Drosophila melanogaster: one gene and its partner. The protein of the gene in region 2 interacts with the protein of the main gene of each other region in a pairwise test. Each region holds a gene or a part of one and is shown on either strand. Other genes may lie near its edges. The genes, in order: dnk and Urm1.

What was found.
Region 1: the proteins of Urm1 (region 2) and dnk interact in a two-hybrid assay, tested with the Drosophila melanogaster proteins (one large-scale study listed by BioGRID).

What each region holds. Positions count from the first base shown.
Region 1 is NT_033777.3:18,978,842-18,983,249, forward strand, and holds dnk (deoxyribonucleoside kinase), read left to right. Parts: upstream 1-2,153; 5' UTR 2,154-2,353; intron 2,354-2,415; exon of another isoform or gene 2,416-2,483; intron 2,484-2,582; exon of another isoform or gene 2,583-2,710; 5' UTR 2,711-2,730; coding exon 2,731-3,062; intron 3,063-3,138; coding exon 3,139-3,409; intron 3,410-3,466; coding exon 3,467-3,616; 3' UTR 3,617-3,908; downstream 3,909-4,408. Other genes in the region: Smu1 spliceosomal factor, read right to left, coding at 222-320, 383-1,461, 1,529-1,787, 1,844-1,910, 1,979-2,004; snRNP-U1-C (small ribonucleoprotein particle U1 subunit C), read right to left, coding at 4,262-4,408. UniProt on the Drosophila melanogaster protein: Deoxyribonucleoside kinase that has a broad specificity phosphorylating thymidine, 2'-deoxyriboadenosine, 2'-deoxyribocytidine and 2'-deoxyriboguanosine. Specificity is higher for pyrimidine nucleosides.
Region 2 is NT_037436.4:7,639,013-7,642,109, forward strand, and holds Urm1 (Ubiquitin-related modifier 1), read right to left. Parts: upstream 1,435-3,097; 5' UTR 1,430-1,434; coding exon 1,392-1,429; intron 1,326-1,391; coding exon 1,258-1,325; intron 1,195-1,257; coding exon 1,113-1,194; intron 1,053-1,112; coding exon 1,004-1,052; intron 948-1,003; coding exon 879-947; 3' UTR 799-878; downstream 1-798. Other genes in the region: Pura (Puratrophin-1-like), read left to right, coding at 1-25; CG7506 (uncharacterized protein), read right to left, coding at 1,803-2,015, 2,074-2,571.

The DNA of each region.
Region 1 (4,408 bases), on a different chromosome or scaffold from region 2:
AACTCTGTGGATTAGCGCTCTGAGAGATTGGCGCTTTGCATAATGCTTAATTAAAGTCAATTTGTTTCATATAGGCAAGATTGAAGATATTGATGTGAGGAATGGCTGAGGGCATGAGAAAAAAACTGCAAGCGCTTTGGGGTCAGTAGGTATATTTCGGCAGCTCAAATAAGACCACCAACTAAAACTAACTAGGTGTGAAAGTCAATTGCTTATATGGTCTAAGGCTTCCAAAGCTTCAGCAGGCCGTCCTCACTGTAGCTGGCCAGTAGATTTTGATGCGGATGATGTGTCAGGCCAATGACGTCCTTTTCATGAACCTATGGAATAAATATCACGTTTAAAGTCAGTTTGAAAACAAATAGTTTAAAGAGCAGCTTACGTTCAAAGTACGTTCAAGTTTACCGGAGGAGACGGAGAAACAGTAAAGCACCTGATCCTCTCCAGCGCAGTATATGAACTCTCCTCGCGGCGAAAGAGTGGCTGAGATAAAGGCACCGCCCTCGCGCTTACCCGACGAGAAGGATCGCACAATCTGGCCCTGCATGTTCATAATGACAACCGTATTGGATCTGTTGCAGACAATGAAGTGTTCGGGATTCTTGGGCAGAATGAGGACTGTGTTTACGGCCAACTCGTTGCCAAGGGGCTTGTACGTGGCCACGCACTCGGTCGTTTTAAGGGACCAAACCTTTACTGTGCCGTCGGAAGATGCGCTGAGCACGCTGTGTCCGTCAGGCGTAAAGGTGGCTTCGTTCACAAAGGAGGAATGCCCCTTGAACTCCTTCAGCATCTTTCCCGACTTCAGCCCGTGCAGTCTCACCGTGTAGTCGAAGGATGCGCTGAGTACCTGGCTGTTATCTCGCGAGAACTGCAGACAGGTTATTCCCTTGGTGTGGGCTTTCTCGAATTTACGCAAACACTGACCGGTGATGATGCGCCACACCTTGATTTGGCCATCCTGTGCGCCCGATGCCACCATCTCGGAATCTCGTGAGAAGTTCAACGCCAGCACCGCCTGTTCCATCATCATGAACTGGTCCTGCGCCTGGTACTTCAGATCCTTTCTCACCTTGCCGGTGGTAAAGTTCCACACCTCAAGGAAACCGTCCACACTGCCCGTTATCAGATACTGACCATCCGGCGAGAACTGAGCGCACTCAACGTGCGACTTTTGGCCAAATTTGATTTGTCGGAACAGCTGGGTGGGATACATTTCTTCTTCCTGGTCCTTCATCGCCGCCTTGCCGCGGAACAAATCAATGGTGGTGCCGGGCGGAAGGAGTCCCTGGTGCTGTTGCCATTTAAGAGCCTGTCCCAGGAGTGCCAAGAGCCTGGAGGAGGGCACCACATGCACCTCGCCACTTAGCTCTTGGGCAATGACCGTGCGCCGCTTTTCCTTGCTACTTCCCTCTGCATAGGCTTCCCTGGGATCGAAGTAAGCGCGCTGCAGCATGTTTTCTACAGACAAATATACCAATTAGGAATCACGAACTCTAGTGAAACCTTAGAATGGCTTATATTTTACCCAAATGGATGTATCGTTCGGGCTCCTGCTGCTTCAACATGGTCATGGGATCCGTCTGGCGGAGCAGAGATCTTGCTGCGCCCAGTTCTCTGAGCTCGATCAGCTCCAAGACTATTTGCTCGTATAGATTGAGCAGCTTCTTATCCGGTAATTTGAGAGACTGGGTCACTTTTAGCACGGTGTCCCAGTGCCCGTTGGAGATATCCTGCACAAAGCCATCCACGCTGTCCACCGTATTCAGGGAGACACCCGTTTCCTCCTGAAAGTTTAAGATCATTGAAAGACAAACTCTCTCCGCGGTGTGTAAGTACTAACCTGTAACGTTTGCAGGGTCTTCATAAGGTTGGACTCCTTCAGATACTGCTGGATGAGCCGAATCACACTTTGTTTGGGGGGGAAATCACGGATCTAGTAAAAACTGAGTGGTGTTGGTCGATTTACAGTACTTACTCCGCTGATTCGATTTCTATGGACATCGTAAACTAATTTCCCGGTTTAAGATTCCTTTTAAAAATAAGTTTTAATACAGGTTTATAAAAATGTACAATAATATTGATAAAAAATGCGTCGTCGTAGGGATGGCGAAAAACAGATACTATGCACAGAACAGCTGACCGTTATCGTTATCGCCGACAGCTGATTCTCAGTATAGGCAAAAAGAAAATTCATTTCACAACGTTAAATAAAATAAATAAGAGGCCATAAAAGTTGTGAGCAATAAATGTTTAATTTTATTGCTATCAGTGGTATTTGTATTTAATAAATTTGTAAAAACAGCAATGTCCAGCAAGCACATGTGGCAGAAAAACATTATATCATTAATAGGTAATTCAACCAGCATTGGCTTAAACTTTAAGTTTTTGTAAAGATGTATGTAAAAACATTACCGGCAATAGAATAGACACACACACACACACACACACAGTTACCGATCAGCCGGTTGACAAAAACAAGCATAACGATAGGTAACACCGATTAAAAAAAAAAGAAACAAATGGCGATGTTCCCGCTCTTTTTGTTTTTCGGCGGTAAACGATCTGACCAGGCGGGTTGAATCAGTCACCATATTCCCGCCGCCGTGTACAGTACTCCATCGAATCCGGAACAATCAACTTCAACCGCGATCCGTTGCTGCTGTGCTGTACCTAAAACAGTTAGTAAAACTCCCAATCTCACGTGCAGATCGCCGATTATCCGGACTGATGGCGGAGGCAGCATCCTGTGCCCGAAAGGGGACCAAGTACGCCGAGGGCACCCAGCCCTTCACCGTCCTCATCGAGGGCAACATCGGCAGCGGGAAGACCACGTATTTGAACCACTTCGAGAAGTACAAGAACGACATTTGCCTGCTGACCGAGCCCGTCGAGAAGTGGCGCAACGTCAACGGGGTAAATCTGCTGGAGCTGATGTACAAAGATCCCAAGAAGTGGGCCATGCCCTTTCAGAGTTATGTCACGCTGACCATGCTGCAGTCGCACACCGCCCCAACCAACAAGAAGCTAAAAATAATGGAGCGCTCCATTTTTAGCGCTCGGTGAGTGCATTATTCCCGTCGTCCGGTTTGACCAGAAACGCTAAACGAAACTTATCCATTACCCATCGCGCCGCAGCTATTGCTTCGTGGAGAACATGCGACGAAACGGCTCGCTGGAGCAGGGCATGTACAATACGCTGGAGGAGTGGTACAAGTTCATCGAAGAGTCCATTCACGTGCAGGCGGACCTCATCATATATCTGCGCACCTCGCCGGAGGTGGCGTACGAACGCATCCGGCAGCGGGCTCGTTCTGAGGAGAGCTGCGTGCCGCTTAAGTACCTTCAGGAGCTGCATGAGTTGCACGAGGACTGGTTGATACACCAGAGACGACCGCAGTCGTGCAAGGTAGTTTCTACACAAGCTCACATCTACCGAAGCCGCTAAATATGCATTTTTCCTCAGGTCCTAGTCCTCGATGCCGATCTGAACCTGGAAAACATTGGCACCGAGTACCAGCGCTCGGAGAGCAGCATATTCGACGCCATCTCAAGTAACCAACAGCCCTCGCCGGTTCTGGTGTCGCCCAGCAAGCGCCAGAGGGTCGCCAGATAACCATTATCCCATTAGTACCTAATTGTGTGTAGTACAGACGTTTAAAATAATATTATAAGAGGCCTAGACGAGCCGATTCGCGGGACAAAGGCAGAAACTTACACTTCGAGCCAATGATTAACACATTCGTATATTAACAATTATAATCCACATTATATTCTCTTCACAGCAACTAGTATGTAAGCTCAAAATATTGTAATAAAAACTGTGAATGTTTATGTTAAAGGCAAGGCACCTACTATTTTTGTGTTAGCATTTCAGTTCACTTGCATTTTAACTATATTGTGTTGGACAATGAAATCATTAAATGCCTTCTCTAGCATTGATTTTTGTTATCTTTTTCTGAAGCGGGGTTTTTTAAAGTCATAATAATGTGTGCACCGTAAAAGCGGCGTGATCTTATGCCTGCTGAACTCTAATGTGACTGCATGCGCTTCTCATTACTGACCTAAATATATATACTTTATTTCTCTATTGACTTCCACCCACAAAGACAACCATTTGTTGAGTCAACTTGCTTTATATAAATGTATATAATTAATTGTTTTCGCTATCGGGCTTACTTAAATGCTACAGCTTAATTAGGACATCGCAAGGAGAGCACTCCATCTGTGCTGTGAACGTTGATGCCGTTCCTGAGGGCGTTCACTTGGGTCCGTTCATGATTCCTGGACGGACGCCGGGTATAGTGCCCAGTGGAGGCGGTGGTCCCATCATGGCCATGGGATTCATAATCGGTGGCGGACGCATGCCCATCATGGGGTTCATCAGTGGAGGCATATAGGGCATTCC
Region 2 (3,097 bases):
CGCCAGTCCGGAAAGCGGCAAATAGAGGAGCTCCTGGAGCATCGCATCTAGATATAGTATAAATCCCCATTAATAGCTTTAGCAGAACGGTTTCATCGGATCCCATGTAGTATCATCGTATTACGTTCGATCGCTAATTTTATTTCATTATTTTTGTTATTTATTATTTATTACATTTTTAGTTTTCGTTAATTTGTCATAGTCGCTGCTTTTCGTTTTGCCTTGTTTATCGGAAAAATCAGTCGAAATTATTGAATTCAGCGTGTCAATGTCGAAGCAAGTTTCATACATATCTAGTTCTTAGTCCACACAATCGAACGATCCGCACCACACACACACAGAAATCGATGGGAGCCATGAGCAGCACCCGAAAAAGGGGCGTGGCCGATGCCCAACATATCTGAATCGAACTTCATTACGTACAGTTAGTTGATATGTAACCTAAGTGCCTATAGTTAAAATAATCGTAAACGAACATTAAAAAAATATATCTATACTTCATAATAACTCGATAAATAATTTTAAGCGAAAATTTAAATTCAATAAATGTTGCTTCAATGTAAAACTAACGTGTTGTCCTTACTTCGAATTACCCGCCAAACCGCATCTGGATTGTTCTATTTTTAACTTCCCTACAATTCCCAAGTGCTTGTTCAATGCTGTGCTTTTATAAATAGCGAAAACCTGCTAGCTTACAATCTCTAGATGATATGATGAAAACTTTACTACCCGAACCATCGTGTGGGCCTTTGCCTCTGGTAAAGGGACGTAATTCTGATTCAGTCAAAAACTGTTTTTGTTTGTTTTTTGAATACAATTTAATGGGTTGTAGTATAAAAATAAACTTTTCTCCTATAATTTAGATTCCAGAACGTTTTTTAACCACCGTGTAAAGTTGATATAAACAACACATTGTCGTTGGGCTGCAGCTCGTAGTCCAGTTCACCCTAGAAGTTGAGTTAATTATAGTTTTTAGAATTCCATATTCTGTACTCTTACTTACCAGCAATTCCCAGTCTGTATCATTTATGAGTACTAAAATTCCAGGTCGCCTGAAAACATACAATAGAAAGTATAGACTATGTATCCCTTATAGTTTAAGCCAAACTTACACAGTATCTCCTTGAAGAAAAAGTTCCGGACGCTCCGTTAAAATATTCGCATGCATCCACTTAAGCAGATTAGCAATAGTCCCTTTAAAATATATATAATTCATAACCGATTTCACTCAAGTTTAAAACATCTTTTAGAACATACATTTTTGTTTACCGTCCAAGTTCAATTCACGGCGTTTTATGTTACCAAATAGTAACTCCGCCCCTGCACTACGAAATTAAATTACAAATTGTCTCATTTATTGGAAATAATAATTCGAACAAGGCTTTATATACCTGAATTCTAATATGATTTTTAATTCCGGCGTGCCCATCATATGTTCGATGTAAATAAATGTGTGACCGCGTCTAAGCTTTTCAAAAAAATCCACCATTCAAAAATAATACCAAATATAGAATCCTAATTTCTAAAAAGTCTGGCAACCACATGCTCTAAACTTCCAAAAATTATTGCATTTTGAAAGAAATTATAATTTGTACGTAAATTTACCTTTACCATTCACCTTCGACGAGGGGACTCAGCATTATAATTATTCCCATTGAGAAACATAAACAGGTGGCATTCCAATGGAACGCTAGGTAAAGTTTTCATTAGCATATTATGATCTGTGCTCTAAGAAGACATTTTACATTTCGTTGTGAATTTATGAAATTAAAAAAAACACGTTATCATAAAGAGCGTTTTTTTTATTGCTTCTCCTCGCTCGTTTTCGACTTTTCAGGATTCGGAGTCAGATCCAGTTTGAAATCGATCGGTTTGTCGTAACCCATTATCTTAACATAGTGCTCGGGATCATCGAAAAGCGCTGGATCCACAAACAGAGGTCGTTTGTTGACCAGAAAAGAGGTGAACATGCCGGGAACCTCCGGAACGACCACATCATTTGGTCGGAAAGTAGTCTAAAAGGTAAATAATATGTACATTGAAGGCAAGCTCTTTTAAATTTGCTCTACCCACCTTGATTTTTTGCAGAAGCAGGGATATTGTGGTGGCCGTGTACTCCTCCGTTAGTGGATTGTAGTGCAGCTCCGTCACGTATTTCTTGGTAATAAAGTGCAGCAGCAGAGGAGTCACAAAGGTGAAGAATCCACCGACGGTGCAGAGGAATACGGCCATTCCAGTTCCTCCGATTTTCATTCCCTGCTCGAGAAGAATGGGCTGGGCGGCCAAGCCGGCTAAGCTGGTGCTCAGCGAAAAGAACTTGACCATTTTCATGCGTGGCGCAAGAGTTCCATAGTAGATCCGCTGCAGTGCATCGTCGGATTCAGTTTTCGTCGACTTCACCGAAAGCCACCTGTTTTGCTGGAAGTTCTGTGGTTGTGACTGCTGTGGTCTTGTCCATGAGGCACTAGTAATGCATCTGCAGTTGTGGGGCAGGGTAATCTGACGGCTGACATTTCCCAGGACAACAGCAAAGTGTTTCCCTTTTGGCAGCATCGCTCGCAGGCCTAACATGGTGTAATTTACTTATTTCAGTAGAAATAAACAGCTGTTTTTGCCGAACGTTAAATAACACGAGTTGCAGTGTGGCCCACACTTGGGCGCTAAAAGAATCCAGAAACGATACGTCTATTCAAAATATACCAACTCTCCTTTTGAATACCGAAACAGGAAACGGCAACATTGCACTGACAACGGAAATTTAAATCGATACTGACTATTTTTACTTATTGATACTAAAAACAAATATTAAAAATTTAAAATCCTAAAATTCTAACATTTCTAAGCTAAAATTAATTTACATTAAACCGACCAATATTACAATCTTATAAGATAAGATTCTCTTTAAAAAATACAAAAATAAAAATTAATAATAATTACACTTGTACTTACCAATTAGGAGCTGATTATTTAACACTTATACATCGATTAAAATTCACTTACACTCACGCTTAAAACGGTAGGAAAGGCGTTTGCAAATATTATTCAAAGTGTTGACCTACTTTAGGATATTGCTGCCAAAAAATTCGATTGTATTTCC